Xenopus tropicalis: one gene and its partner. The protein of the gene in region 1 purifies or fractionates together with the protein of each later gene. This does not show direct contact. Links are inferred from orthologs where the notes say so. Each region holds a gene or a part of one and is shown in the gene's direction. Other genes may lie near its edges.

What was found.
Region 2: the proteins of fyb1 (region 1) and lcp2 purify together in Homo sapiens (co-immunoprecipitation; 6 studies listed by BioGRID and IntAct, with this or other methods). This does not show direct contact. The link is inferred for Xenopus tropicalis from reciprocal best matches to the Homo sapiens genes FYB1 and LCP2.

Annotation. Positions count from the first base shown.
Region 1 is NC_030677.2:196,899,280-196,916,536, forward strand, and holds the start of fyb1 (FYN-binding protein 1), read left to right. Parts: upstream 1-7,168; 5' UTR 7,169-7,454; coding exon 7,455-7,457; intron 7,458-14,661; exon of another isoform or gene 14,662-14,786; intron 14,787-17,257. UniProt on the Homo sapiens protein: Acts as an adapter protein of the FYN and LCP2 signaling cascades in T-cells. May play a role in linking T-cell signaling to remodeling of the actin cytoskeleton. Modulates the expression of IL2. Involved in platelet activation.
Region 2 is NC_030679.2:32,339,272-32,355,968, forward strand, and holds part of lcp2 (lymphocyte cytosolic protein 2), read left to right. Parts: intron 1-863; coding exon 864-907; intron 908-1,440; coding exon 1,441-1,618; intron 1,619-2,202; coding exon 2,203-2,291; intron 2,292-3,061; coding exon 3,062-3,107; intron 3,108-3,215; coding exon 3,216-3,287; intron 3,288-4,320; coding exon 4,321-4,343; intron 4,344-7,185; coding exon 7,186-7,211; intron 7,212-7,282; coding exon 7,283-7,378; intron 7,379-7,699; coding exon 7,700-7,730; intron 7,731-8,490; coding exon 8,491-8,503; intron 8,504-9,562; coding exon 9,563-9,671; intron 9,672-10,968; coding exon 10,969-11,009; intron 11,010-12,185; coding exon 12,186-12,283; intron 12,284-14,591; coding exon 14,592-14,669; intron 14,670-16,582; coding exon 16,583-16,697. UniProt on the Homo sapiens protein: Adapter protein primarily involved in signaling pathways within T-cells, as well as other immune cells such as platelets, mast cells, and natural killer (NK) cells.

The DNA of each region.
Region 1 (17,257 bases):
CTTTAATAAATGAGCTGAAGCAGTAAATCATTTCAAAATGGAAAGTTTTAGAAAACCATAAATGTGATGAATAGAACTTGGTCAGAACACAATCATTAATCAAGTCGGTATTCCTGAGGCACAGATGCAATTCCTTATTCCATTTTGGTTCTTGAAAATCAGTTTTTTATTAGCTTTGCAACCACTCCTGAGAAGAAAATGTAACTTTCACTTTCTGTTTTTGAGTTGCTTTTTTGTTAAGGTAACTGCCCAAAGCTCAACAGGCATTGGCTATCTCACCCTTAGTAACATTCCGCCATCCTTTAGATCTGAATGTTCTCAACGACGGGCCTGCATGACCGATATCTGGCCTGAAATTGGCCAGATATTGATTGGGAGAGTTAAAAAATTTAGTCGGATCGGGGACCACATTGGCTCGTTGATGCGGTCCCCGATCCGACTTCTCCTATACCCGTCGTTCTAATTTGATCGTTTGGCCCCAGGGCCAAACAACCGAATTAGCCTGGATTCGCCCGATATCGCCCACCCGATGTCGTCAAGCGAGCAAATCTGAAGATGTATGGCCACCTTAAGGCCAGGCTCTGTTCTACCATTAGCCTCAAAACTCATGCTCTTGTATAAATAACCTTTGATCCCAGCCTTACAGAAAAACCCTCATGTACATTTGCAAGCAATCTCCAAATCTCTCTGCTGTTGATACACTCAGTCATTCCATTTGGGCAGGCTTTTTGCATCTAACTGAAGGCAAAAGAAGCCAAAAAAGACGGTGACAATGAGCTTCTTCAGAAATACCCTGGGGTTGTGCAGTTTTAGTGAACAGGAGCACCGGAGCCCGGGTATTGGGCAAACAGTTATAATCACTGAGGGATGCCTAACATTTCATACCAGTTTCTCTAGTGGTTTTCATTTCCCCCCAGTTATTATATTTCTTACTCCCTCTCCACCCAAAGTACATATCCCATTTTTCTTCACCCCCCTTCTCTCCTGACCTTCTTATATCTCCCCCCCAGTTGGAAGGAACAATCTATAATGCGTTATCCCAAACCCAAACTCTCACCCACAACTACACTATCAATGCAAATGGATGGAACTCACCTTGGGAAAGGACAGCCTTGTTGCAAGAATTCAAAGCTAAAAAGATACAGGTTGCGCTGATCCAGGAGACACATTACAAGACCAATCAGATACCGAAATGCTATGACAAATCTGATTCCACTATCATACACAGCCCCCCACAATCTACAAAAGTCAGAGGCACAGCCATTGTCCCCACTAATAACTTACAATTAGAGATTAGAGCTGCCAAAACAGACCCTCAGGGAAACGACACATTTCTCAAAGGGAAACTGAACTCCCTTACGTACACATTTGCCTCAATCTACCTACCTGACACAGAGCAGACTGATATCATGAATAAGATCCATGATTTGCTGCTTCTGTTTGCGGAATTGATGGTAATAGTATGGGGGGATTTCAACACCCCACTCGAACCCAATCTAGACTGCTCCTCTGGAACATCATCCCTCCCATTGAAACAAATTAAAAGGCTTAAACAACAACTACATTGGCTTCAACTACTAGATAGCCGGAGAACTCTCCATCCCCAAGATAAAAATGGCTCCTTCTATTCACATAGCCATGACACATATAACAGAATCGACTATATATTTATCTCACAAAGCACTAGATAGTACCCAAAAGGAAACAATAGGCTCCATTACATGGCCAGATCATGCCCCAGTAGGCTAACATTAGAACCCCTTCTCTCAACTATCCGAAACAATCCAAACATTCAGGGCATCAAGGCAGGAACTTCCCATTGCAAAATTTGTGCCTATGCTGACGATCCACTCTTTACTCTTACTCAACCTACCAGCACGTTACCCAGCCATACCTTTGTCAAGGAGAATTCTAGTTTGTACCATTTCAATCCCTATATATATATATATATATATATATATATATATATATATATAATAGAAAGAGTGCCGCACACATAGGGACTTGATACAAAAGAAAAAGTGGTTTTATTGAAAAAATTGCAACGTTTCGAGCACAATCTGTGCTCTTCCTCGGGGACAAACCAACAGACCATATCCCAACACCCACAGTGTGGTGGGGGTATTTACTGTGAGTGTTTTTGACCTGCACCAAGGGCATTTGGACTTGTATAGGGTGTGCTCCTCCCTGTATACTAATTTATATATATATATATATATATTGCTTACTTACATTTCCTCCAAGAAGCGTGCAGATATTCTCCCAATAATGTTTTTACAAGATACTTTTTTTCATGTGTCGTGACATCACTTTGCCACATTAGCGCCACCTAGAACAGTATATTTATTCTGCAGAAAGCATTACCATACCTGAGTAAACAGCCCTAGAAGCTCCTTCCAATTGTTTAAGATGGCAGTTGCCTTTTTAGCTCGATCTCCATAGCTTTCTGCTACAGCTTTAGCTGTTGGTAGCTCAGATGGGAGGGGGGGTGAATTCTTATGGGAGGGGGAAGAGAAGGGAGAGAGGATAGAACTGTGCAGACTCAGTGTCCGGGAATGAAGGATTTTTCTGATAGAGGAAGTCTTATTCTAAAGAACATAATTACAAAAAGGAGACAAGAAATCCCATGTTTCTTTTGATAGAGGACTCAGTGCAGCATTACTGTGAGTGCTTATGGCTATATTTACATAGACCTTTAAAGCTTTAAACATGGAAAAATCACAATTAATAAGCACATAAACAATAATAACATCTTAAAAATACCCCAAGACAATATCTCCATGTAATAAATGAGCAAGCATTGGATATATGAGTTTATTCGATTTAGAAGAACAAAATCAAATTTACTTAAAAACTGATAAATAAGCCCATTAATATAATGAAGACCAGCTTTTGAATCCGGTGTTTTAGAACTTATCATACTTACATACCTTTCGATCCACTCATGCTCCTGCTTTTCTAACAGATTTGCTCAAAGCTTGCACCAACTGATCCTTTAGATTATTTGTCCCTTATTAACCAAGATGGATTTTCGGGGAAAATGTATGCCAATATCTGCTAACACTCAGTATGAGGCAAGTAAACCGCATTTAAGTGTGAAATTTGAATATATCTTTAGAATGTCGTTGCTCACATTAAAAGGGATAAAAATTAATATTCAGAAAATGTTCTGCAACACTGCAGTTTCCCTTTTTTATTTAACAGCTTCTGTTGCAATCCTAGCATTGCGGAAGGGACAAGAGGCCTGTGAATCAGCGTTTGCAACATGCTGAGATGTATTCCCTTTGCAGGAGTCCATGGAAAGGAGGAACTGATTGCATCCCAAGCCAGGACTAATCCCCCAAACTGTAAGTATAGCAATAGGAAAAAGATGTGGGCTCCTTTTCTGTATACAATAGAGGAGTACATGTTACAGGGAAAAGGTTTTCATTGTTCAAACAGTGACTGATGCAGGATATGGTATCTAAATATTAATGTAAAATTAATGTAAACAAGAGCCCAGGGCCTGATGAAATACAAGCTCAAGGGCCTGGGGTACTTGTAGACAAGGTGCTGTCCTCTATTAAAAGGTGTGTAGATTCATGGGAAGAGAGGGCAGCACCTTGTCTACAAGTACCCCAGGTCCTTTCTTAACTTTATCTCATTTAGGGTAAAAGCTGCTTGGATATTTTTGTATCATGCATAACCTGACACCTAGCACTTGGCTACTCAGTCTATCAGTGTGTCCTGATTCCCCTGCAAGAATGAGTGTGTGTAGATTCATGGGAAGAGAGGGTCATACTCCATCTATACAAAGCTCTGGTAAGGCCCCATAAAATAGAAAGTGCAGTTTTGGTCTCCACTCCCTAAAAAGGATATTAAAGGAGACATATCCTATAAAAATTATGAATGTATCAGTGAATTATACTCCTCTAGATATAGAAGGATTGTGTTTAAAAATGTTGTGTGTAACGCTTTTCTGACCCAATTTGGAATAAACCCAGGCTAGTAGTGAATAGAGAGCATGGGTTACATTCGCGACACTTAATACAAAGGGGTGAGCCTCCGCTATATGGGAGAATCAGGATGGAGCGAGGGTGTAGTGGAACTACAACTAGCTGAGGTGTGTAGTGCAAATAGAGAATAATGGACGCCAGAGGATTCTTGCTTATGAACTATAGTACAATTTATTGGACAAAGGCACAACTTTATAGTGCAGCAGGGTATACTCACAGACACAGCAGTGTATGATGTCACAGATAGTACAGCAGATGTGACACTTTAGGCACAGAATAACCCACTTGGAGGATGCACAGAGGATTAGTTGACACCTGAGATATAGACCTTTCAGAAGGGAGTGTTCCGGCCGACTGTGGTCCAGGGGAGAGCTCCTAACACTGGTACCTGGCGTCTAATAAAACCGGTCCCTAAAGAACGACTACAGAGCCGGGGTGGACTAAACCCTTTGTTACAACTCCTGGTTGGGGCTATAGACTGCCCTTACTAAATAACCTGACTACAATCACCTCTCCTAGAGGGTGCTATAACAAATCTGTCTGTGCTGGCTTAACCTCGTTCACGGGGCCCTGTCCCCGACTTAGCACTAGGGTAGGTGGTCCCCTAGGGTACAAATGGCTTCTGGGCCTATGTTCTGGTCCAGGCTCAGTTGGGATCTGTCCAGAACACAGCATGCAGCCAAAAGAGGAAGCCACTTCCTTGTTCAAGACACTATATAGTCTGCACAAGGGGAGTGGTCAACCTGGGCTAAACCTATAGAGGGCAGCCTAATAACAGTAACCTGATATCAGAGGGCTCTGCCCTATAACAATACAGATAAGATAAGAATAAGGGATAACACCATAGGGAGCTTAACCCTATGGGTCCCTACATGTGTTTCAGACTGATTTATTGAGAAATTCCACAAAAACCCCACTCGTCCCGCCCATCTGTTCCACTTCCTGCTGGCAGAATTCTCTGAATGAGCTGGGGAGCCGGCGGCCCTCCGTACACTGCACTGTAGGATAGGAACCAATCAGCAGCTAGGCTGACCTGATAGGGAACTGAAGCCTGTCTGTGCTTGTGTGACTGCAGGGCTGTGATTGGCTCTCCCCCTCCTACTGTGCTTCTGGCAGGGACCGTTAGGACACGCCCACTCTTCATTTCACACTGGATGAAGAAGTGAGAGGATCTATAGGGAGCTCCAATAAAGGGGCCATTTTTACAGATAGGATTAATGTTTAGCCCAAAGGGAAACCAGCACCGATTATTATTTATAATTGCCTACAAAAATAGCGTTCTTACAATTTATCCAATATGTTTCCTTTAATGAACTAGGGAAAGTCCAAAGAAGAGCAACTAAGCTAATTAGGGAACGGAGGGTCTCAAGTACGAGAGAAGGTTGATCTAAGTTTGGATTTTTCAAGCTAGAAAAAAGGTGCTTAAGCGGGGTATGATATGTATGTATTCATATATAAGGGCGCCATACAATAACTCTCTGATGCTTTATTCACCAGTTGCTCTCCAGCAAAGTGGGAGAGGCTTCAGATGGTGACTGATAATTAAGCAGATGGATCAACTATCAGGCAGGCAAGTTTCACTGAGGCAATACAGTTGAACTTGATGGACATGTATGTATGTATGAGTGTGTATAACCTTACAGTGGTACTTATAGCCCTACCGTGGTATGTATGAGCAATTAGCAGTATGTATGTTCATTAACCAGCTCATCTACAGACAACTTGCTTTGGTAAACCCCCTCTGATAAATGCCACTGTTTGCAAATAAACAACTGCTTCATTTCCAGCAACTATTGTCTGACACACTCATGCACTGGTGATTGCACCTCTACCAACACATCCAAGAAACTGATCTGTTGCTCATTTACCTCGGCCTTTTGTCCTGGGAACTGGGAGAAGAAAGCATATGGGCCTCATCTGTGTCAATCAAAATGTGAGCCTTTACAGAATCCATATAACTAACAATGATGAAACTGTAGGCAGATATATTGCCTATGTCTGTGTTGTGGTGCTAAAGGCCATTCGGCTTGTATGGGCAATGCTATTTAATGCAGGAAACTGCACAGTGTCTCTTGATGCCCGTTCCAATCTCCTTATCAGTTCTCCTATACTTTATGGACCTCCCCTTCACCTTGTTGCTCCATTTTCTTTGTTGTCATTCCCAAAGAAGATCACCATGCATGTTCTATCAAGGGACAAGGCATACAGTCTCCTGACAGTTGAACCCTGTATGTAAAGGTATCTAAGCTACCCACTGGGCAGAGGATGGATGGGGGGCATATAACCTATATTAAAGGCAAACTCAACCCAAACACAGCTTTTTGCAAACTAAACTTAATTTCAAGCAGCCTTTGCAATATACATACATTAAAAAATACGCAGACATGGTTGTTAATGTATAAATATGGTTTGGAACAGTTCCCTAAGCCCCACCCCCTGTTGCCCTGCTGATCTGGCTGACTACTTTGAGACTCAAATAAAATGCAACAGTAGTCGCCTGTCCTCAGCCTGCCTTCAGCCTGCATCCTCCCAATCCCACAATTCCCTGCACGTGATGTCAATAAGGAAAGGAACATCTCAGTGCAATGCATTGTGGGTTGTGTAGTTCCTGCATGCTGTCTGTAAGCTGTGGAGGAGTTGTTACAATTTGTAACTTCAATGCTTTAGTCCCTCCTCCCCTGCCAGGATTTGAGATGATGCAGAAAGAAAAGAACTGTTTTGCAGCTCGATTTCAGCATATAAAAATTTTATTTATTCATACTTTCTGAAGGAATAGGTTACAGTAATAGGGATATTAGGGGTTTCTGTGTTGTATGAGGCTTTTTAACAAATTTTGGTTTGGAGGCCGGAGTTCCAGTTCAACTGTTGCTGGAATAATAACTAAAAAAGTTAAAATATGTTATAAAAGGGGGTTACTGTGCACAATGTAAAATATATGTCAGCATTTACTTCCTTTTATTGTTGTAATGGTTTCCTATGAAGAAATGGAACATTTAATTCACTTAGTGGAGAGAGAAGTAAGGCCTCAGATGTATCATGAAGTCTATTATCCAGATTCTCTCTTCTCCAGGAGCGGTAAAGTCCAACTGAATGATGTTACTGAGAATGCTGGGAGTATTAGTTCACAGCCGGGGAGCTGGGTTTTTTACATTTTTCTTTTAGAGGAAGAAACACTTTCGAAAGCAGAAGAAATGAGAGAAGAATCAGTGTCAGTAGGTGGCTGGGACTGGGCACTTCTATGGGTCACGTTGAGATGTCGGTGCGGCTCATAAATCTGATGGGGAAAGAAAGTATATCCCTGTGCTTGTTTCTGTGTAAGTGGATATGAGGAGTGATATGAGCTGTATGATAACATTCTATAATCTACACAAAAGGGGAAGTCGCTTCATGCAAAGGATAATAATTAAGCCCTGTGACTCTGCACTTTGCTACATGCAACATCGGTGTTGGCGTTAAAAAATGGTGAGTTCTTGCACAATTTTCTTTTTTTAGCCCTAAAATTGCTACAAAGCTGCCAGTGGGGTTATATTTCTGCTGAATGTTGTGCTTCTAGGGAAACTGTACAGCATAGCGCAGAGCGGGCAGGGACTGGCACCTAGAGCTGCACAGTTTCCCCACTGAATTATTTCTTCCCAAGTGCAGCTATTCATGCCTTTTATTGTCAGATTGTCAGACTGATAACTCCTAGTAGGATTCTGTGAGATGAAAGGGTTTGTCTGATTTATTGGGGCTGTTGTGTCCTAAATGATGGGGACTTTAGATTGACATTTAGTCATTTGGAACAGAAACATTATATGGTACCTAGGATTCCTCTTAGCAACCAGGCGGTGGTTTGAATGAGAGACTGTATATGCTTAGCAGGTCAGCGGGTGTGAACAGAAAGACAAATCATATAAAATATTAGTAGTAGTACAGGTATGGGACCCTTTATCCAGAATGCTTGGGGTCTTTCCGTACTTTGGATCTCCATATCTTTAGTCTAGTAAAATATCATTTTAACATTAAATAAACCCAATAGGATTTTTGGCATTCAGTATAGATGGGATCAGGTACAGGTACTGTTTTATTATTACAGAGAAAAGGGAATAATTTAACCATTAAATAAACCCAATAGGGCTGTTCTGCCCCCAATAAGGGGTAATTATATCTTAGTTGGGATCAAGTACAGGTACTGTTTTATTATTACAGAGAAAAGGGAATCATTTAACCATGAAATAAACCCAATAGGGCTGTTCTGCCCCCAATAAGGGGTAATTATATCTTAGTTGGGATCAAGTACAGGTACTGTTTTATTATTACAGAGAAAAGGGAATCATTTAACCATGAAATAAACCCAATAGGGCTGTTCTGCCCCCAATAAGGGGTAATTATATCTTAGTTGGGATCAAGTACAGGTACTGTTTTATTATTACAGAGAAAAGGGAATCATTTAACCAATAAATAAACCCAATAGGACTGTTCTGCCCCCAATAAGGGGTAATTATATCTTAGTTGGGATCAAGTACAGGTACTGTTTTATTATTACAGAGAAAAGGGAATCATTTAACCATTAAATAAACCCAATAGGGCTGTTCTGCCCCCAATAAGGGGTAATTATATCTTAGTTGGGATCAAGTACAGGTACTGTTTTATTATTACAGAGAAAAGGGAATCATTTAACCATTAAATAAACCCAATAGGGCTGTTCTGCCCCCAATAAGGGGTAATTATATCTTAGTTGGGATCAAGTACAGGTACTGTTTTATTATTACAGAGAAAAGGGAATCATTTAACCATGAAATAAACCCAATAGGGCTGTTCTGCCCCCAATAAGGGGTAATTATATCTTAGTTGGGATCAAGTACAGGTACTGTTTTATTATTACAGAGAAAAAGGGAATCAATTTTAAAAATTTGAATAGTTTGATTAAATGGACTCTATGGGAGACGGCCTTCCTCTAATTCAGAGCTTTGTGGATAACGTGTTTCAGGATAAAAGATCTCATACCTGTAGTTATTTTTAAATAATAATAAATCTTCTGTCAGGATCAAAATCTTTAATATATTATATTGATATGTTTTTTCTCACATGCATGTAGAATGCAATAGGTAAATGCATATAAACTAGATATATAATTCATTGCCATATAGTTTGCAGCCAACAGATTTTGGCTAAAGCCGGCCATACACAGGAGTTCTTTCATACAATTATTGGTACATGTAAAGGGGTTCATCACTTCCAGCCGATATCCAACTCTGTGCATATTGGTTTAAAGATGGAACACATTTGAAGATGTCATTGGTTGATAAACCATTTTTTGGTATAAGGTTGGCTTCTTGTCCCGTGTTCAATCTATAAATGTCAGTGGGTGTAACCAGGGTCAGACACAGTCAGTATAGGGGGGGGGGGGGGGGCATTGTGCTGAAATTGTGAAAGAGCCCACTAGTCATTGACCCAACAACATATACATTTGCCCTCTGTACACTGTATTCTTTAAATAAAAGAAAATTAATGGGTTGTTTACATGAGTGCCCTCGTGTTATTGCGCCAGATATATATCCAGCCCCGGATGGAAATGTATTTAGGGACAGAAACTTCTGCTTAAACTGTAAGCTGTATGATACATATGTAATCTGCATTCTTTTGGGAGACAGGTTTCCATGAGCTATATGCTTATCAGAAAAATGAAAGTGATTTAGTATTCTTATATGGCTTTATCTTATAGCTGCATGTCAGAGTCCACTTAATGTGTTACTGGCAAAGTGCTATTCCACTTATTTTAACTGCCACAATACACATCTTCTAATGTTATTACTGTATGTTTTCTCAGAGTTTATTATCCCCCTGCTATCCCACAGCCACATTCCCTTCCCAGAGGTTATTATCCCCCCACTGCTACTATAGGCACCATCTCTCCCTACTATACCTGCTATCCCACAGCCCCAGTCCCTTCCCAGAGGCTATTATCCCCCCACTGCTACTATAGGCACCATCTCTCCCTACTATACCTGCTATCCCACAGCCCCAATCCCTTCCCAGAGGCTATTATCCCCCCACTGCTACTATAGGCACCATCTCTCCCTACTATACCTGCTATCCCACAGCCACAGTCCCTTCCCAGAGGCCATTAATTATTGCATTGCTACTATAGGCATTGCTATGGGGAAGTTCTCAAAGAACTAAAAGAAGACTCACAAATTGATCCCTGCAGTTGTGCTAAAGACAGATCGGCCCGTGACTGTGTCCAAAACTGTATAAATTTAATCTGATGGGGTGAATTCTCAAAAAGTGGTATATAAAAGTTCCATTTAACTAGTAAACTGCAGCAAGACGTAAGTTCAAGTCAAATTGCAGTTAATCAGTAGCTTGTATAGAGTGAAACTGCAAACTGAGATGGTGACACCTTCATAAAAGCAAATATAAATATAGATTTAGACATTAACACTTCCTTTCCTAACATTCCTTTAAAATGCAGCAATTTTTAATAGCTTACTACTGCTCTGAAGCTGCCAGATAGGCTCTGTAGTCTCCTCTGTACTGCAGTCAGGAGCAATTACCTTTAGTCAAGGTACCTGATAGCTGAGCCCTACCCACCGTCAGATCAAGGAGCAAAAGAGCATTTAGGCTGAGCCTGTATCGGTCGAAAGTCAGAGTCTGCCTGTGTTATTGGGTCTATTGAGATGGGACTGTGTAACGTTAAATCTCCTATGAAACAAGTAGAATAAGGAAGAGTCTAAAAATAAAACAACTTAATAAAAGCGTAATAATTATAATCATGTTCATAAATCAGAAATATCAATCCAAAATAATGCTCTTTTGGGATATTTATTTATTCTAATTCTAAGCTGGAACATATAAATACAGATAGCTATAATAAAAGGCTAGCCTAGGCCTTCTCTCTTTACATGCCTATTTGGACTTTTATATTCGTTAATATTATACTTGAGCCATGGTTTGCATAATTATATTTGTATGCAAATATCCACTTAGAAGGAACTAGAGGTTTTTTTTTTTAGTTTTTTTGGGAACAGTAGAAAGTCTGTTCTTAGAGCAAGAATATTCTGCAATAAATTCCCCACTGTGAAAGAGGAAGAAGCCTGAAGACTTGCTGATGCCCCAATCTTCTCTATCTTCCTGTCTGCTCTTTTCTCTCCGGCGATGGAATGTGCATTGTAGATTTGCTCGGTGCAGTTAAGCAGAATGATCTCAACTAAAAAGAAAATTATATTATAATACAGTTCTAAATATAACAATAAAATACATAAATGGGATTAGGTGGTAAAAGTCACTAAGTTTGCCCAGGAGCAGTAACCCATAGGAACCAATCAGCAGGCAGAATTTACTGGTCACCTGTTAAATTAAATCAATAGTCAGAATGTAATTTCAACATAGGCCCTCTTTATTGTGTTCATTTTTAGCAAAGGTGTTTTTAGGCGTTTACAGCCCCTTTCAAGGGATACTGTCATCATTTTTATGGTGTACTTTCTAAATGACACTTTACATAGCAAATAATTCACTCTGCCATTTAAAATGCTATTCTTGAACCAACAAATGTATTTGTAGCTGTAATATTGGTGTGTAGGCGCCATCTCAGTGCATTGTGCCTGAGTCTGAGCTTTCAGCCAGCGCTACACATTAGAACTGCTTTCAGCTAACCTATTGTTTCTCCTACTCCCATGTAACTGGAGGAGTCCCAAGCCGGACTTGGATTTCTTACTATTGAGTGCTATTCTGATACCTACTGGGAGCTGCTATCTTGCTCCCTTCCCATTGTTCTGCTGATCGGCTGCTGGGGGGGGGGTATCACTCCAACTTGCAGCGCAGCAGTAAAGTGTGAGTGAAGTTTATCAGAGCACAGGTCACATGCTGTGGCACCCTGGGACGAAATGAAGAATACGGCTAGCCCCATGGGAAATATAGGTACAATAACAAATACTAAATGGGAACTTGATGGAAACCAATGAAAAAGCTAGAGCCTCCTTAGTGTTCCAGCTCCTAACTGCATTCACAATTCCATTCAGATCACCTTCCTAGGAACTGCTCAAGGGCAAGATAAGTGCAAAACTGCATGAAGGGTAATTGAGGTTAAATAAAGAAAAGCAATGATGCCACGAGTCCCAACCAACCAGAAGCTGTTTGTTTGCACACCTTGGACTGAACCCAAGAGCAGGCTAATAATGCTAGCGAAGGTTGCGGCACAATATGATTGGCTACTAAATAAAGCACATGAGGGCTCATTTATATTTGCAAGCGCAGGGATCAAAGCACAAAGAGAGTATTTTGACGCAACTACCTTTAAAGGGATACTGTCATGATTTTTATGGGGTACTTTTTATTTCTAAATTATACTGTTTACATGGCAAATAATTCCCTCTACCATTTAAACTTTTATTCTTGAACCAACAAATGTATTTGTAGCTGTAATATTGGTGTGTAGGTGCCATCTCAGTGCATTGTGCCTGAGTCTGAGCTTTCAGAAGGAGCCAGCGCTACACATTAGAACTGCTTTCAGCTAACCTATTGTTTCTCCTACTCCCATGTAACTGGAGGAGTCCCAAGCCGGACTTGGATTTCTTACTATTGAGTGCTATTCTGATACCTACTGGGAGCTGCTATCTTGCCCCTTCCCATTGTTCTGCTGATCGGCTGCTGGGGGGGAGATATCACTCCAACTTGCAGCGCAGCAGTAAAGTGTGACTGACGTTTATCAGAGCACAGGTCACATGGCTGTGGCACCCTGGGAAATGAAGAATATGGCTAGCCCCATGTGAAATTTCAAAATTAAATGAAAAAAAATCTGTTTGTGTTTTTGAAAAACAGATTACAATGCAGGATTCTGCTGGAAAAGCTCTATTAACTGATGTTTTCCTATGACAGTATTCCTTTCATGAATCATTTAATGAATGGGGTTTAGTGTGGAAATAGTGCTGAAGCATGCGAGCGGTAGTATATGACCCTTAAGGTATTGTTCAAGTGTAGGGAATAATACCAAAAACACATCCATACATTATAACTCGCTGACATACACACATGACATTGATCAAAAGTCCTTTCAGCCTTAAGGGTGAAGACACACAGAGCTACTTAGTAGCAGCTACTTGTCACAGCTACTCCAGAAAATAGACAATACTGAGAATTGCCTCTGCTAAAACACATGTAGAGACAATTATCAGTAAATGATCAGCTTTGTCTATTTTAGTAGCAGTTACAAGTAGCAGCTACTAGTAGCTCCGTGTGTATTCACCCTTAGAAACAGCAGCATCATGTGACTAGCCAATCACTTGGTAACACATAATCATTCATGAGACTTCAAGCAGATAAACATGTTGCTACATAGCAGCCTAGTACAATTCTGCCCAACAGGCCAGTGACTACCACCATGTTATGCAGCCCATACTGACCAGGCTACCTCCAGTACAGGTATGGGATCCGTTATCCAGAAACCCCTTTATCCAGAAAGTTCTGAATTATGGAATGGCCGTCTCTCCCATAGACTCCATTATAAGCAAATAATTCTAATTTTTGAAAATGATTTTCTTTTTTCTCTGTAATAATAAAACAGTACCTGTACTTGATCCCAACTAAGATATAATTACCCCTTATTGGGGGCAGAACAGCCCTATTGGGTTTATTTCATGGTTAAATGATTCCCTTTTCTCTGTAATAATAAACCAGTACCTGTACTTGATCCCAACTAAGATATAATTACCCCTTATTGGGGCAGAACAGCCCTATTGGGTTTATTTAATGGTTAAATGATTCCCTTTTCTCTGTAATAATAAAACAGTACTTGTACTTGATCCCAACTAAGATATAATTACCCCTTATTGGGGCAGAACAGCCCTATTGGGTTTATTTCATGTTTAAATTATTCCCTTTTCTCTGTAATAATAAAACAGTACCTGTACTTGATCCCAACTAAGATATAATTACCCCTTATTGGGGGCAGAACAGCCCTATTGGGTTTATTTAATGGTTAAATGATTCCCTTTTCTCTGTAATAATAAAACAGTACCTGTACTTGATCCCAACTAAGATATAATTACCCCTTATTGGGGGCAGAACAAGCCTATTGGGTTGATCCATTATTTAAATGATTTTTAGCAGACTTAAGGTATGGAGATCCAAACTACAGAAAGATGCCTTATCTGGAAAACCCCAGGTCCCGAGCATTCTGGATAATATGTCCCATACCTGTACATCAAAATCTACAATTATAAATATATGAATGCGCTTAAATACGAGCACAATGAAGTATTAGTGAAACAGAATATAGAAGTCTCCATACAGGCCCGGACTGGCAATCTGTGGATTGTGGCAAATGCCAGAAGGGCTGCTGTAAGACAGTCAGTATTTATTGGGCCTGTGGGGGGCTGTTTGGGCCTCTGTGTACTTGCAATGCCAGGGCCTATAGTGAACCCCAGTCCGGGCCTGACCTATAGCCTCGTATGCAGGGAAGATTCCTCGTTGATTTACAAGTGTGCAAGTTCTGCTTGAGTTCTCTTTTTCCGTGCAAAATGTGACACTTAATTAACAGCACTCACAGATGGGGGAGGGGGGAAAGCCTCCAGCGTATGAAGAAATATTCCTGTAATAAAGGGGTTAATCAGATCTGTGAATTGAACAATGTTCCTCAGGTTTCACTTTCAGCTTCCTTTTTAAAAGCCAGTTCCTTATTCCTCCTCTACCCGTATTCTCATATGTGAGAGCGAGTTTCCTAATCGGCAAGTTTATCCGGCGTCGTTACAATGTGACTGTCATTGCACCAGGGTTACACCGTGTATTCGCCACTTTGCCCCCCGTACTGAATAGGTGAGTAAACATCACCCCACGGGGTTTCTGTCCTTGGTTGTGTGTGTGTGTCCCCAGAATGGGTGCAACTGCTACTGTAACATAAGGAGAATATGGTATTTGTGCAATAGCTTGTTATACAGTAACGGGGCAGTAACCTATAGCAAGCTGCTAGTGTAATGACAGCAAACATTTGATTGGTTGTTGCAGGTTAGGGGGCAAACACTGCCCCCTAACACACTGTTTTGGTATAGTTTCAGAATGGGACCTCCAGAATCCTCAGGACTCGGGGTGTTCCAGATAAGGAGTCTTCCCCCTACTTTATGTCATTATATCCTACTTTGGGATCAAGTTCCAGGAAATGTTTTATTATTACAGTGAAAAAGGAAATCATTTTCAAACATGTGAATTATTTGATAAAAATGAAGTCTCTGGGAGATGGCCTTCCCATAATTCTGAGCTTTCTGAATCATAGGATTCCGGATAATGGATCCTATACTTGTACAAGCATAAATATCCATAAAAAATGGAACCCAAAGTGAATGTGGCTCATCAACTCATGAAAAAGGTTGGGGATCCCTGTAAGCCCCCACATCTGTAGCAGCCAGTTGTCTTTAGCAAATAACCCTTCCTAGATCATACCGTAGAAACCATGATGGAAACTGAAAACAGGATCACTAAGGACCACAAAGGTATCACATGAATAATTTACAAAAAATGGTGTATTCTCATTTTATTCACATTTGAATTAGTCGGACCGACTATGACTCCAAGTCACCATTCCACACAAAAGTGAGATTGTCTATATAGTGATATAATGTAATTAATGTAAATGTAATTACAAAGTGGCGGTATGGATTAGCACCAACGCCCCATAAAAAGATTGGCATTGGATGGAGCCAAACGTGGTACCTTTGCCAGCTTTTCTGAGGAAGTAGAGAATAAATCTAAATTAGATGCAGTACTGAATCTCAGGTTAACAATTACTTAGATCTAACCAAAACATAATGGCTGCCAAACCATTCCCATATCAACAATGAGTCAACAAACACGCCCATGGTTAGCCACCTATACTATAGGTTAATCTCTATTCTGTAGTGTTCAACTTTTTAATAGAATCAATGCTGTCCCTGATATAACTGGGCAATTTCTCAACTCTATGAATAAAATACCCGTCTGCCAACCTTTCATTGAGGGATCTGATGCTAATGGGACATTTTTTGACTTTCTCCTTATGGACCTCAGGAAATCAGTGAAAGACTGGAATAGATGGCGCTAAATTCCAAAGATATTTGTTATCCTCTTCATTCAAAATCATGTTTTAAAGGAGAAGGAATGGTAAAAACTAAGGAAGTGTAACCATCAGAAAGGTCTATGTAAATACAGCCATAAGAACTTACAGTAATGTTGAGTCCTCTATCAAAAGAAACACAGTATTTTTGTCTCTTTTTTTGTAAACATGCTGTTCCAGTGTCTGACTTCCTCTCTCAGAAACATCCTTAATTCCCAGGGCCAGAGTCTGTGCAGTTCTCTCCTCTCTCCTGCTCCCCCTCCTACCAGAATGCTAAGAACTCCTCCCCCCCTCCCTAGGGAAGCTACCTAAAATGGCAGCTGCTATCGTAAGCAAGCGGAGAAAGCTTCTAGGGCTGTTACTCAGGTATGGTAATGGTTTCTGCAGAATAAATATATTGTTCTAGGTGGCACTAATGTGGCAAATCTATTGGCAGTAAAATGCCAAAATGACTTTCCTTCTCCTTTAAGCCCAGGCTACCATACTGTCCCATACTGATCGGTAGGATCTATATTTAATACCGCATTCATCCTGCGGAGGGGCGTGTTTTTTATTTTCTGATGAAGTGACCTTTTTACCCAGGAAATGCATTAAGCCTCACCCTTTCTAGTATACTCCCTGGAATTGAGATACTGTTATAATTATGTTATTAAACATATATCCATAGCATGTCACACTTTTATCGTTTACATTGGATGAGAACGAGCGACTGTCTCTCCGGTTTTTAGCTTGTGAATTTGCCGTGTTGCTCTGAAGGAATGAGCTAAGGATTCCACTGTAAAGTGAAAACTGAATATAAACTTCCTCTTCAGGAAATATTAACTATAGATTGTACATTGTTTCTGAAATAATCAAGTTATTCTTCAATATCCCCCACTTTGCAGCTTTGTGTCGGAGTCAGTTATTTTTAGAGACGTTAATTGAAACACATTAGAGGGGTCATTTTCAAATTTTTGCACCCTGAGAAAATGCAATTTCGAGCATAATTACAGGTATGGTACCTGTTATCCAGAATGCTCGGGACCTGAGGTTTTCCAGGAAAGGGGTCTTTCTGTAATTTGTATCTCCATAACTTAAGTCTACTAAAATTCAATTAAATATTGAATAAACCCAATAGGGCTGTTCTGCCCCCAATAAGGGGTAATTATATCTTAGTTGGGATCAAGTACAGGTACTGTTTTATTATTACAGAGAAAAGGGA
Region 2 (16,697 bases), on another chromosome or scaffold:
GCTATGCGCATATAAATAAAGCATGTAAATTGCTTTTTTCTCAATTGACTACAGAAGCAGAACACTTTTTTATAGATTTCTGCCTCACACTGCTACAACCCTTTTCCTAATGAAATGTAAGTGCTGTGCATGGTCTGTGAGCCTGATGCGAAAATAAATTGTGCTCCATCTGTGCATTTATCACTGGAAGCTTAGATTCCTGTTAATATTGTCCCTTGATGCTGGAAGCAGGTTTTTCAAATTCATCTCAGAATAAACGGAATAACAGTGTCGTACCATTGCTTAGCGTTTCAGCTTAGTTACAAGGGGGGGTTAAGATAAAAGCTTTTCATACTATTAGGTGTCATTGTCAGTACTTGTTGATATAAGGATATAACAAATGGTTTTTGGATTCTTCTTTAGCATTAAAGGAGACGTAAAGGTACAATCATTTGGGGGGTGCAAAAATGTTAGGCACCCCCCAGTGACAGTAATCGCTTACCTTATACCCCGGGCTGGTGCTCCTGTTAGGAGAGAATTGCACCAGGGCCCCGGGATTCAGAAGAAAGTCGAGGAAGAGGATTGCTCAGTTGCAGCTACCCTGGGCTGGTGCAGTTTTCTGCTAACAGGAGCGCCAAACAGGTAAGCGACTGGGGGGAGTCTAACATTTTGGCACCCCCCAGTGATTGTACCTTTCCTACTCCTTTAATGGCAATGACACACAGCCTACTTGTTGTGGCTACTAAATAGACACCACTGATAATTGTTTCTACTAGTGTTTTAGCAAAGACAATTTGTTATTGAACTGGCTACAAGTAGCTCAGTGTGTGGCATAGCCCTATGTCTTAATAAATGCAATTTATCCTATCTCCTTATTCTTTTAGAATTTATTCCTGAAGACAAAGAATTTTCTGACTCTGACTCATTTGTAAGTAATCATACCCAAGTGATATATTTCAGATAGATAATGCAGTTAGATTAGAGTTTAGAAAAAAAAAATGGAGCACACCTCAGATCAAATATTAAACCCATCTAATCTTAATGGGCAGTGCAACCTTCTGCTTTATGAAGTGCAATGAAGAAGGGGCATCCTCTGTTACACAATCTGTAATCTGTCCTCAGATCTGACTAGCAGGTCTTGGTCATGGCCTAAACCTATAATCTGGTCAATGCATCAAAATAAGTCGTGGTGTAAAAAAAAAAAGTCACAGACAAATAAGGAAAAAGTTGTGTGCATCAAGTGGTGTGGAAGCCATGTTTCCCAAATTTCTTTACCATTACACACATTTTTAAGCAGTTTTGCAAATGTGACAGATTTGCTTATCACTACCATTCACTACTTGCAGTTTTTGAAGTATGTATTGGCAAGGTATAGGGCAATGGTTTCTCAGTATGTGAAAATGTCATTTATATCCAACTGATTACTAATTTTATATCCATATTTAATGTACATATGAACAGGAGGAGGATTATGAAAGTCCCAATGAGTTTGATGATGATGACTATGAACGCCCAGCATCAGAAAATGAAGAGGATGAAAATGAAAATGGAGATTATGAGCCACCTCCTCCCAATATTGAAGATGCTCATCCTCCCATATTTCAATTAAAGCCAAATGTAACTAACTCCCCCTATGCAGGTAAATTAGGTACATTGTGTACCTTTCTAATTACCATAAACCCATAAACTCAATTTACATACAATTAACACTTCTAAAAATTTGGAAAAAAATCTGGAAAAATATGCTTTATTATTTTAAAAAAAAATTAAATATACTCTAAGGGGCAGATTTACTAATCCACAAATTTGAATCACGAATGGGAAAAATTCGGATTGGAAACAAAAATTTCTAAAGATCTCAAATATCCCGAAAATGCTTACGAAAAAATCATATTACTCACGATAATATCGTATTGACGATCCGAAAGTCACAAAATTTTCGTACTGTCCATTGGAAACAGCGGCAGAGCCTTTCCGAATTTTTTATGCGGGCACGCGGAAAAAACAGCGAGAATACGCTCGGAGCGTTCGTATGAATGCTCCAGCGTTCGGGTCTTACTGAATCTCCCCCTAAATGTTTATCGATGGAAAGGTGCTTAATATGCAAGCAAGGCTTCAAGCCAAGCTCCTGTTTTATATGTATGACCATATTATTGTTAGACATTCTGAAGTTTTGAGTTAATAAACATTTCTAATTATTAAATATTTCTTTTGAATATTTAGACAGAGAGTTTGGAAATTCTACCAAAAATCCTCCAGAGCCCCCAAAGAGGCCGGGGAATCCAGGACTTCCACCAAACAGGGGACATACTGTAAGTTGTTTGTTGACCTAAAAAAATGAAAATAATATATGAATATATTTAGATTAAACCCAATAAAAAACTGTCTCTGCAGTGTTGTCTTAATATTTTTAAATGTAAATTTTAATATTTAAATTTTAATGCAGGTAAAGAAGGGACATTATTTATTGTCTGGATGCAAGAAGGTGGAAAATGGACATATTGTAGTCTTACCCCCATATTGGGTTTATTGTCCAGTAGCAGTAACCCATAGCAACCAATAAAATGTTTGTTGTTTGCTTTTAAAGAGGTGACCAGTAAATTCTACCTGCTGATTGGTTGCTATGGGTAGCTCCAGGGCAGACTTAGTGCCTTTTATTACATACCCCCATTAGTATTCAACCCAGCAATGGATTTAGGACCCTGACCAGGCATGTATATTTTCTATTTCTGATTCCATTCTAAGATCTATTGTCCGAAAGAGATGCCTAGAAATTGCTGACTTGGCAAATCAACCTTCAGTGCAATTGTACCAAAGCTGATAAACCAAAAACATAACAAGGTTGAATGATGACCATCAGCTGACCCAAAATGCAACGACAGTATTCCCCATGCTTCCACCAATTCATACAAACTATCAGGGGGCAATCCAGTAATGAAATTAGAATGTTTTAATATCTCTGTGCTTCCCGCAATTAATATTGATATCCAAAGATGGCAAATATTTATCTAACATAAGCAGTTACATACAGAGACATAGTAAAAGGGAAACTTTTTCTTATTGTTTTTGTTTGTTGTATCAGTTTCCTGGGTATTCACCCTCATCAAATCAAGAAAACAGAGCGAATAGTGAGTATTTTATGTATCTGTGTTCATTTGCTATAATAATATTTACTATACATTTGGTCTGGTCTCATTTGTTTTGTTCATTATATTCTTTTTAACTGTTTTTTGAAGCACTCGGTCCAAGCATTGATCGTACAATCAAGCCAAGTTTTGAAATGACCTATCCGCCAAATGTTGGAAGAGGTATCGGCAAGAAAATTTGAGAAATGGTGAAAAATTTGCGAAACGCATTTGTCGCACGATTTTTTTTGTCGCCCGCGCCTTTTTTCGCCAGCGGCTATATTTTGTCACCCGTGTCTATTTTTTTTTTTGTCGCCCGCGTCTATTTTTTTTGTCACCCGCGCTTTTTTGCCGCGACCAATTTGACGCGTGGCAAAACAAATTTACACGCAACTAATTTTTCCAAGGCGAATTTTCACAGAAGTTTCGCAAAACAATTCGCCAATGGCGAAATGCGGAAATTCACTGCAAATCCATGCCCGTCCTTGGCAAATTTAAGTATAAACTTCAATTAAAGGGGTGGTTCACCATTAATCTAACTTTTAGTATGTTATAGAATGGCAAATTCTTAGCAAATTATCAATTTGTATAGTTTTTAAATTATTTACTGGCTTATTTTGACTCTTTCCAGCTTTAGATGTGTGTCACTGACTCAGGCAGCCAAACAACTATTGTTATTGTCACTGTTCATTGTTTTTCTTTCTTTTGAGTCACTCTCCTATTCAAATTCCAGTCTCTCTTTCAAATTGCTGACTGGTTGCTAGGGTAATTTAGAACCCATCAGCCAGGCAATTAAATTAAAATCTGGAGTTTAACAAGAAGCTAAATAATTGCAGATTGTTTCAGAATATCACCCTCTACATCATACATATGTTGTAGTCTCAGGACAGTGTATCAGGGTGATCTATTATACTGGTGATTTGCACTGAAGTGCACAGTAGATTCCTGAAAGAGTTTTGTTTCCATTAGTTCTGTCTCATTCTCATGTTGTCCTGACATGCTTATATTACAAGGGACTGGAATACATTCTACTGCCCCCTGTAACAGTAGTCTCCCCTGTATGCACATATCTGCAACTTTATTTTAATAAAAAAAAGTAATAATGTAGTTTTTGTCAAGTGCACAAAGTAATGTTCTGCATTGCACTGTTTACACACTATATTATTACTATATTAATTGCTATTATCCCTTCTCTCTCCTTCTCTCACTTTTTCAGGGAAACCACCTATTCCAGGAAAGGTAAAAAAATAACTTTAAAATAAAATAATTTTTAACTTTGTTATAGATACTGTATCATAGTTGAAAAGCTGTTTTGTGTTTTAAGCTGGAAAGGAATTTTGCTTTTATATTACTCAATCAAAATATGATGTGATAAAAAGTGGCTTGCCCACTTGCCCTTTCTAATAAATATAAACATATGAGGGCTTATTTACACAAAAAGGAGTAAGTAAGCACAACTACAAAGTGCAAATTGAGGTGCTATTAGCAGGTGTATTCACTTAGCTGCTATTTAGCAAAGTTATTTGCACACATACATGCTACATACAGCTTGTTGTTATATTGCTAGTGCAGCCTGATGAATTACACATAGTTGCATGAGATATGGAAAGTATGCAAAGTAAGGAAAGTAGGGTCAATGAAAACTGCAGTTTGCAAGAATTGCCTTAAGAACAGAACATACCAATGGACAGGTTCTGTGTAAAGGTTCAGAGGCAAAAGAAGGCAAGGAGACCTGTCCAGGAGAGGGGGAAAAAGTAGTAGTAGAGCAGAGATGGTAAAGCTGGGGCATCTGAGGTAACATACACTGCTCAAAAAAATAAAGGGAACACAAAAATAAGACATCCTAGATCTGAATAAATTAAATATTCTTAGTTGAATGTGCTGACAACAAAATCACACAAAAATTATCAATGGAAATCAACTTTATCAACCCATGGAGGTCTGGATTTGGAGTCCAAAATTAAAGTGGAAAAAAACACTACAGGCTGATCCAACTTTGATGTAATGTTCTTAAAACAAATCAAAATGAGGCTCAGTAGTGTGTGTGTGGCCTCCACGTGCCTGTATGACCTCCCTACAATGCCTGGGCATGCTCCTGATGAGGTGGCGAATGGTCTCCTGAGGGATCTCCTCCCAGACCTGGACTAAAGCATCCACCAACTCCTGGACAGTCAGGGGTGCAACGTGGTGTTGGTGGATAGAGCGAGACATGATGTCCCAGATGTGCTCAATTGGATTCAGGTCTGGGGAACCGGCGGGCCAGTCCATAGCATCAATGCCTTCGTCTTGCAGGAACTGCTGACACACTCCAGCCACATGAAGTCTAGCATTGTCTTGTATTAGGAGGAACCCAGGGCTAACCGCACCAGCATATGGTGCCACAAGGGGTCTAAGGATCTCATCTCGGTACCTAATGGCAGTCAGGCTACCTCTGGCGAGCACATGGAGGGCTGTGAGGTCTCCCAAAGAAATGCCACCCCACACCATTACTGACCCACTGCCAAACTGGTCATGCTGGAGGATGTTGCAGGCAAAATGTTCTCCACGGCATCTCCAGACTCTGTCACTACTGATGAGCGAATCTGTCCCGTTTTGCTTCGCCATAAAATTCGTGAAACGGCAAGAAAATTCGTGAAAAGGCGAAAAATTCAATTTTTTTGTCGCCCGTGTATATTTTTTTGTCGCCCACACTTTTTTGACGTGGCCAGGCCCGTTTTGATGCGACTGCGCCCTTGTTCTACGCAAACAAGACCTTTTTTTACGTGACCGTACCCTTTTTGACGCGCAATGAATTTTTCCGCATCAAATATTCACAGAAATTTTGCTAAACAATTCGCCAGTGGCGAAATGCGGAAATTCGCTGCAAATCCATGCCTGGCGAAAAAATTCGCTCATCGCCATCTGTCACATCTGTCACATGTGCTCAGTGTGAACCTGCTTTCATCTGTGAAGAGCACAGGGCGCCAGTGGCGAATTTGCCAATCTTTGTTCCTGCTACCACTAGAGTGAAAGTACCCCCAGCATTCAAAGGTGACCAAAACTTCAGTCAGAAAGCATAGGAACTGAGAAGTGGTCTGTGGTCACCACCTGCAGAACCACTCCTTTATTGGGGATGTCTTGCAAATTGCCTATAATTTCCACCTGTCTATTTCATTTGCACAACAGCATGTGAAATTGATTGTCAATCAGTGTTGCTACCTAAGTGGACAGTTTGATTTCACAGACGTGTGATTGACTTGGCGTTACATTGTGTTGTTTAAGTGTTCCCTTAATTTTTTTGAGCAGTGTATATTTGTCAGATCCACAAGCCAAGGGAATTTCAGGTTTATACTACTGGTCCTACATTATTTTTTATCAAAAGTCCTTGGCTTTCTAATTATACACAGTGATTAATATAGAATTTGCAGATGCAATACAGTTCCTTAATTGTAATTATTTTGCAAGGCACAACCCCACCCTCTCTAAAGCCACACTGCAGTTTGTGTACCAAGATGCACAGCTAACCCCATTTGTAGAGGAAGCTCCTGTTTTGCTGTGGGCTTGTTAAAGGAGAAGGAAAGTCATTTTGGAATTGTACTGCCAGTAGATTTGCCACATTAGCGCCACCTAGAACAATATATTTATTCTACCATACCTGAGTAAACTGCTTTAGAAGCTGCCATTTCTAGTAGCTTCCTGCCTGCAGTCTAGCCGTTATAGCTGAGATCACACATTCCTAAGGGAGGGGCGAGGGAGTTCTTAGCATTCTGGTGGGAGAGGAAGCAGGAGAGGGGAGAGAGCTTACTGATAAAGCTTACTTAGTTTTTACCTTTCCTTCTCCTTTAAAGAGGAATTATATGCATATCTATACTTTGTTCAACATAGGCACAAAAAATCGGACTTACTTATCTAAAAATATTGGTGATCAACACCTTTAAACATACGAAAACAAAGAAATGATAGTGATGCCTCTTGTTAGCTTCCAGTTTGTATGAACTGAAGATCCAGGGTATTCATTAACTAATCTTGATCTGTGATTAAGAAAACTCAGTTTGAGGATGGCTACATGTATAATTGTTGCACTTGTTTTTCCTTAACCTAGATTCAGACTGGACATGCAGGTATCAGGTAAGTAACTGGATTGTTCCAGGCAAAATGTGACTGCAGTGGCTTTTGCTGAATATTTATGTCTGTTTTAGTCAACAGGCATCTGAAAAATTATCAAATCTTATAAAACCCCCCGTTCCCATTGAAAGAAACAATCAGCCATTTGAAAGGAGAATACCGAGTCCAAGGTACAGTATACGGAATTGGTTGTGGCATGTTTTTGCAATGATAAATCTCCCAAAACTGTTTGTTTTGCTCTTTGTATTCAGTATTTATTTTTAAAAAAATGGTTAAAAAAATGGAATCATCCTATTTGGGGATTTTACATGGCCAGGATCAGTGACAAAATCCATTTTTTTCAGCTGTAAAGTAGGAGATTTAATTTGAAAAAAAAGTGTACTGCATAATAATGATGATAATAATATTGTTACTATATTTTAGTTATTGGAATTATGTACATTTTTTAACATAGATTGTCAGTCTAATTTCCTTTACATTATTCATTTTAGGCCCAGTTTACCTATGGACAAAAGATTCAATGTAAGTAGTAGGTCTGAATACACAAACAGTACCATGAATCCATATTGGTAGCAACACAACCCTATTGGACTAAATGTTTTTAGCAGCAATAGAAAGAGATCCCTTATCTGGAAAATATTCAAGGTCCTAAGAATTCTGGATAAATTATCCTATACCTGTACATACTGTAACAGTTGTTATGTACAGCTGATTCAATATGAAATCAAGAAGGGAATTGGTTTTATCAGTGTAAAAAAACCTTGTCTTTCTCACTATCCAATTTTCTGCATCAATTGTTTTTTTAAATGGACCTGTCACCCTAAGTGATAATTTAAAATCCTTTTCTATCATGGTAGTGGAGCAAAATAAACTTTACTTACATTATATAAATTACTTAAATCTTGCTTCCTTCAGTCTGGAATTCACAATCACAACAAGCAGGCAGGAACCATTTTGTTGGCGCTGTTATTAAGGCAAGCTTTGTATCATTCCAAAATTCTGTGCATGTACCAGAATATGGGACCTGATGCCCATTTACTGGCTACATAATTATAGGCAGTCAGGAGGGAGGGGGAATGGGAGGAGTGAAGTGACATCTATTGTATTTTTAATTACATTTATAACAGGTATGGGTGTTTTAATAAAAAAAAGAAATTGCGTTCTCTTTCTCTATAATATAAGTATAAACACCAGAAACATTGTTAATGTGTTGTATCTGAATTGTAATTGAGTTTTTTGCATCGATAACACTAATAATAACCTGTTTTGTTGTTTTTTGCAGCCAGAAGAAGATGGTAAGCCAAACAGTCTTGCTTGTATGCACAGTGTAACTAAATAACTGTCTGAATATGAAAAATGGGTGTGGACGTGTCAAAATGAGCACGGGCGCATCAAAATGGACACGGTCGCTGCAAAATAGCAAAAAAAACCCCAAAAAACGCATGCAACAAAAAAAGACTTGTGTGACAAAAAAGCCACGTGTCAAACGCGTTTCTCGGATTTTTCACTGTTTTGCGAATTTTACTTTGCAAATTTTAGGCAAAGCAAAATGGGACAGATTCAATCATCACTAGCAGCATTCCCTGCTTTTCACCCCTGACTTTAAAGCACCCAAATGTAATAGATAGACATAATATAAATATACACTAAAACCTAAAATGAAGAAATAATTTGTCATTTACATTTGTTTAGCTACATTGTATTAGATATAAAAATTGATTTAATAAAATATATATACACACAGCAAGCACATAATAGATCCGTTTTAAGACATTCAGTAGTAGTAATCCATGAAAACTTTACCCCTAGGATGAATACTTAAAGTGATAGTTTATATTATGTTGACTTATTAAAGAATCTCGCCAAACTGGAATATATATATATATATATATATAAATATATATCAGTAAATATTGCCCTTTTACATCACTTCCCTTGATCCACCACGTTGTGATGGGCTGGGTGCTCCCTCAGAGACCACCTGACAGGAAATAATGCAGCTCTAACTGTAACAGGAATTAGTGTGGGAGTAAAAGACAGAACTCTGTCTATTGGCTGATGGGGCCTAGCATGTATGTGTGCTTTGGCTTGTTTATGTGCACTGTGAATCCTATGATCCGAGGAGGCGGCCCTTAATTCTTAAAATGGCAATTTTCTATTTAGGAGTACCCAATAGTATATACTGCTAAAAAAGTATATCTTTATGAAAATGGCCTATTTAGATGAAGCGGGGTTTTACATACAGTATGAGCTTGTTTATGCAATATAGTTTTATAGAGACCTACGTTGTTTGGGGGTATAGTTTTCCTTTAAGCAACCTAACTTTAAAAGGAATGTACTTTTTATACAAACAGCACCTAAGCGGCAAGTTCCTCCACCAGGAGGCCTTGGATTTTCCTCAAATACTTTTCCTCCAAGGCCGTCTGCGAAGAATTCATTTCCTGGATTGCCAGTTACAGAAGGGTATGTGACAATAAGGCTGAACATTTTAAATAATGATGTACTTTTAAGTATGTTTTTAAGTGTCATTTTGTCATTTAGTTTAAAAAACTTCCTTACCCAATTTTTGTGATGAGATCCATTATCCAGAAAGCCCTGAATTACAGAGAGGCCATCCCCCATAGGGTTTATTTTAATGATTTTCTTCATCCTGTAATAATTAAACAGTATCTGTTACTTGATTGTAACTACGCTGCATAATCAGCCTTAATGTATGGAGATATAAATTACCTAAAAATCCTTTATGCAGAAAGCCCAAATCCCAATCATTTCAGAAAACAGATCCTATACAGGTATCAGACCCCTTATCCAGAAACCCATTATGCAGAAAGTTATGAGTTAAGGAAAACCCATCTCCCATAGACTCCATTTAAATCAAATAATTCACATTTTTAAAAATTGTTTCCTTTTTCTTTGTAATAATAAAACAGTACCTTGTACTTGATCCCAACTAAGATATAATTACCCCTTATTGGGGGCGGAACAGCCCTATTGGGTTTATTTAATGGTTAAATGATTCCCTTTTCTCTGTAATAATAAAACAGTACCTGTACTTGATCTCAACTAAGATATAATTACCCCTTATTGGGGGCAGAACTATCCTATTGGGTTTATTTAATGGTTAAATGATTCCCTTTTCTCTGTAATAATAAAACAGTACCTTGTACTTGATCTCAACTAAGATATAATTACCCCTTATTGGGGGCAGAACTATCCTATTGGGTTTATTTAATGGTTAAATGATTCCCTTTTCTCTGTAATAATAAAACAGTACCTTGTACTTGATCTCAACTAAGATATAATTACCCCTTATTGGGGGCAGAACAATCCTATTGGGTTTATTTAATGGTTAAATTATTCCTTTTTCTCTGTAATAATAAAACAGTACCTTGTACTTGATTTCAACTAAGATATAATTACCCCTTATTGGAGCCAAAACAATCCTATTGGATAGTTACTGTTTAAATAATTTTTTAAGTAGACGTAAGGTACGAGATCTGAAAAGACCCCTTATCTGGAAAGCCCCAGGTCCCGAGCATTCTGGATAACGAGTCCCATACCTGTACCAGCAAACCTTGCCTTAAATCTTCCATACATGACCAACAAATCATCAAAGAAAACTTCTTTATTTATAAGGTAGAATAAAATGGGATGCCAAATCAAATAAATAATTTTCATTTTTGGTGCTAGCAGACCTTTAATTTCTTGAGTAATAAACTAAGAAATGTGCTTTTTTTCATCTGTTTATATATATCGACAGTCCATCCCCACCAGGACCAGCACCTCCCCCTCATAAACCAGGTAAGTAAAACAAGGTATTATATATTATTTTTTAAATATTAACACTTATGCATTGATTCCTCAAGTAAAGGCTGACAGAGTTGTCACAGCTGTATAAATACAAACTCAAGTCCCCAAAATGATTATATCCATAACTATATTCATGCCCCACAAAGAAAGCTGAAGGTGTTTTCTTAGTAAACCCAAACAGCCACGATATATCATGATATATCAGTACAGGAGAATGCCCAAAAAGTTGGGCCAGAACATACTGGTGATACAGATTCAAAATGTATGTATGTATATCTTTATTTATAAAGCGCTACTTATGTACGCAGCGCTGTACAGTAGAATACATTAATACAAACAGGGTGTTAATAAGATAATAGATAAATACAAAGTATAATAATAAATACAGATAATACAGCAGCAATAAGTTAAAATGACTCTAAAGTATGTACCTATTATTTTATAAAGCTGAATCAAAAGCTAGACAATATTTTCTTAGTATTTTGTTAGGTTTTACTTATGCTCAACCAAAAGCCACTTAAGAGGGATACTGAGTGTATTCAGAAATGGCCCGGAAGGTATCTCGTGGCCTACCAAAACATTTTTTGCAGGATAGCAGGACTAAAAAGTTAATTGGAAAGTTATATCAATGGAAGCCAAATAGCTGTGTCAATGTTCAGTGGGACAGTGGTCTTGCTTACATTACCGTGGCAAGTTGCATTGGCTGAGTCATAGGGCAAACCGTGGCAAGTTGCATAGGGCAACCACAGCAGTACTTTATAAATAGATACAAAGCTTCAAGATTAAGGGGCAGGGTCTCTTAGCACAAACAAGATCTGTTAAACAGGCTGAGGGACAGAAGAAATGTGCAGATCATCTATTACACAGTTATAAACATGTCCCAGGAAAACATGCTTCATCTGAATGTATATCTTTAATAATACAGCTGCAGACCCAACCATATGTGGATAATTATTATCTTGTATTTCAAATGTTTAAGATGCTGGCCAGGGCTACTATTAACATTTCTAATACTTAGATGCTAGAGTGTGTACCACACTCTTCTCCTTTTTATACTGTTATTCACAGTAATCTAGTGTAAATTAATTTAACCTTATTTTAAAAGAGATGTTTATCTCAGACCATTCTGTGAACTGTGTTCCATGGTAATTTTCTTGGTACTTTTAGGTAATATGAATCGGTCTTTCTCAGAAGGAACATGTAACGGCAGGCCGCCAGCTCCTATTCCTACCAGCTATAATCAGACTTCAGCAACAGAAAAAGAGGTAATAAGTTAGACATATTTGCAGCAGATAGCATCATTTAGTTATATGGCAGAATTTAGTTATATACATGAAATAAGGTAGAGGTACAGGTATGGGATCCATTATCCGGAAACCCATTATCCAGAAAGTTCCAAATTACAGGAAGGCCATCTCCCATAGACTCCATTATAAGCAAATAATTCTAATTTTTAAAAATGAATTCCTTTTTCTCTGTAATAATAAAACAATACCATGTACTTGATCCCAACTAAGATATAATTAATCCTTATTGGATGCAATACAATCATATTGGGTTTATTTAATGTGTAAATTATCTTTTAGTAGACTTAAGGAATGGAAATCCAAATTTTGGAAAGATCCCTTATCTGGAAACCCCAGGTCCTGAGCACTCTGGATAATGGGTTCCATACCTGTACTTAGTTTCCACTTGTTGTGTTCCCTTAAAGGTCAACTAAAAAAGTAGGCTAGAAATCCTTACTTTGTGTTTTCAGCTCACTGTTACCAGCCCAGACTCACAGCACGCATAATAGCAATGAAAGTTCATGTTTCCATATTTATTCCAGAAACCCTGATATTTAATTTCATCACTTGCCTAGTATGGACAAGTATGGGCAGATCAGTGAAGCATAGTGAGAAACACACAGCACACTGAGGAAAAAGTAAAGAATCCCTTTTAAATTTTGATTGCAAGTTGGATCAAACAGGAGATGTCTTGTCCTGTAGCATTTATACTACATATTATTACAGTGATGATAACTAATACACTAATCTAGTGTAAGGTAACCAGATCATGTAAAACTAGAGACCATTTCTACAAAATCCAGAAAGCAAATAGTGATGTAGATCAAAAGCTTTACCCCATCAGAAATTCTAAGTACAAATGTCAAATGCATGATCTCATCTTAATAAAACTATGCATGATACCAATAACTTTAGCACTACAGTTGCCAAACCTACTGACCTATGATTGCCAAGTTGATATTATAAACCCATTGTAAATATTGGAATTACCTCAGCAATCCAGCCCCTTCTTAAAGCTATATAATGTATCAGCTGGTACAAATGAAATGCTGAATGCTTGCCCATAGTCAGTGTCGGACTGGGACCCCAGGGGCCCAACAGAAAACCATAGACTATTGGCCCACTTTCCAAAATATTTTTCCTTCTTTCCTCACTCAACATCTTTATTCTCCTATTATGTTTACTTACATGCTAGCATCTATCCTTCCATCTATTTTTCCTCTTTGTTCCCATACAGAAATAGGGAATGGCCATGAAGTAGGCCAAATGCTCAGGAGCAGGAGGGCCCACTGACAACTGGGCCCACCGGGAGTTTTCCTGGTATCCTGGTGGGCCAGTCCGACACTGCCCATAGTACTCCACTGAGTGAATGGGCCCCCCGCCATGCCAGCCATCCCTGTGCTGCTGCACATGGATGGGCAAGTAGAAGCAAGTAAGCCTCGCTCAAACCCTTTTGTCCCAGCACCATAACCAGGGAGGTCACAACCAACTCTACAGGATGGGGGGGGGGGATACCTCCTCCATTCCCCACTCCTACAAGCATTCCCCTGCCAACTAAACTGCTACTACTGTATATACCCACCATGAACTACAGATTGTATCTCTTGGCTCCTGGGATGCTGCTACCCACTGCTGCCAGAGACAAAGTGAGGCTTCTGGCCAAACTCCTGCTCCTTCCTCGCTCACTGACTCCTCCCCCCCACCCTCACTCTTCCAGTTAACCCTCTTCTTCCTAAGCCTGCCTAACCCAGTCAAAGCTCCCCTGCCTCCATTTTTAAGTCCAGACAGCCTTAATCCATTTAATAAGGGACGTCGTTCAAATATAAATAATAAAGGCAATACTAAGAGGAAAAAATAGGCTTCTGCCTTATATTTGATGTTGCAAGAGCAAGGTTTCACCCTTTTAATTAAGGGTGGTGGTAGATTTATTAATGAGTGGGCCTTAGGGCTTGAGCAATAGGTTACAGATGTATGAGTTTAACCTGCCGAGGTTACCTAAAACCTGCCAAGCTTTTTATTTTTTTGAAAAAAAAATACTCGGGTAAAAAAATGATCAGCAGTCCGAGGTAATTGGCTTGGAGTTCAGGAACTCACATGTGGTTTCAGTAACCACAGTAAAACATGTAATCTTTTAATGCATCTTTATCCATCTTAGCAGAAACATATAGTTATGTAAAAAAAAGTGTTTACTTTGTATTAATATTTTTGCACGATTTCAAATAATTCTTGCATTTAAATGTTTTCATTACTGTGGGGAACACTTAACCAATGTAATTTAATATACTAGAGCCTGTCTCAAGACCAGTGGTATACTGGCAATATTTCAAGATCAGAAGCTGAAACAGCCCTAAGATCAATCAATCAGGTAAGAAAAAACAACCAAGTAGATAATCAGTTCTACCATTTCATGATATAATAACACCTGGTGAAGATACTTTTATTTTATAACCTGTATAAAGAAAATGTAAAGAAGGCATATGCTTAATTTATGTCAGTTTGGCCTTTATAGATGTGGTTATATGAATGAATTACATTTTTTGTAATTTTTTTTATTTTTTTTAGTAATTACTTTTTTTATTTATAGCAGGATTAGCTGTTTAAAGTTCACCAAAAATTGGCCCAGCATCCCACCCAAATTGTATGCAACTGTGTGCCATTTCTCACAGGGAAGTAGTTCCCAAACAGTGTGGCTAGCCATTGCTATTGGGTATGCAATCTTAAACCATTTCATTTAGGTAAATAAATACCCTTTCATTTCATTCTACAATCTGTTTTGCTGCCTGCACCTTTATCTACCACTTAGTTTTGGGGATTCTGACAAACAGAGTATGGTCATGGTGGCAAAGTATCATACTTCTGGTATGTGGTATATGGCTAGGTATATGGCCAGTGAGATAGGCTGACAAAAGTAATGAACGAACAACTGTTTCCTGGTAGTGGTTGAAGACAGACAAGGAATAGTAAAAAAAAAAAAAAAACTGAAAAAAGCATAGTTAACCAGCAGCAGCTTAAAGGAACAGTTCAGTGTAAAAATAAAACTGAGTAACTGCACAAAATAAAAAATGTTTTCAATACAGTTAGTTAGGAAAAAATGTAATCAATAAAGGCTGGAGTGGGAAGATTTCTAACATAGTAGCCAGAACACTTCTTCCTCCTTTACAGCTCTCTAAGTCTAAGCTGTTAGCATCCAGTAACCAATCAGTGACTTGAGAGGGGGTCATATGGGACATAACTGTTCAGTTAGTTTGCTTCTGAATCTGACCTGTGTGCTCACAAACTAACTGAACAGTTATGTTCCATGTGGCCCCCCTAAAGTCACTGACTAACTAAGAGACTAGAGAGCTGTAAACAGGAAGTAGAGTTCTGGCTATTATGTTAGACATCTGTCCACTCCAGCCTTTATAGATTACATTTTTGGCTAACTAACTATATAAAAAATATTTTTTATTTTGTGCAGTCTATTTTACCCAGTTTTATTTTTATACTGAACTGTTCCTTTAAACATGTTTCTTGGAATGGATCTACTCCAGAAAAGAGAAAGCAGACCTTTGGTGACTCCCTTCTGCTGGTTCTCTTCAGCTTTCATTCGAAAGAATAGCTCCATAAGTATTCTCTCTCTCTAAGTAAGTTATTCCAGATGTATCCATTTTCATTCACAAGGTAACAGGAAATCAACTCTTTAGGGTAGATTGCTTGTCTATGAAACAGATATATATAACCCCATTTTTATACAATGTGATATAAAGGTGCAACTGCAGGGAACTTTGCAAAAGCTGGCCAACAAATGATGTGGAACCCTGGGTGCAGAGTGCAAAGTGCAATTTCAAGTGCAATAGCCATGTGTTTTCCCACAATGCAGAATCCCAGCAACATTTTGCACCCAAACAGATGATTCTCTTGATGCAATTACGCCTACCACATTTGTGTCCGATTAACCAAATTGGACACACTGGGTGCAGTTGTGCCAAATATTTCTGGCATAATTTCTGGTGTTCAGCCTGCATGTGACATGTGCGCCCTATTCTTTTGGTGCACGTGTTCTGCACCTATTGATGCAGGGCTTGCACTTAATTCATCAAAAGCAGATCTATACTGCCTGTTATGAGCACATGGGACCTTGCAACAACTGCCAACTGAACTCATCTGAACTCTCATTGGATGTCTGTTTAGTAATCTGGGAGTAAGAGGCAATGGGAAAATCTTCATTCTGAAGAAAAATGAACTTTCAGTGTACTTGTAGCTATGAATTTGGTCACTTCTGTTCACTATCTGTTACAGGATGGAACATTTTTGGTGAGAAACAGCTCCAAGTCAACGGCTTCACATCCATATGTTCTAATGGTGTTATACAGAAACAAGGTTTACAACATTCAGATTCGACAGGACCAGACAA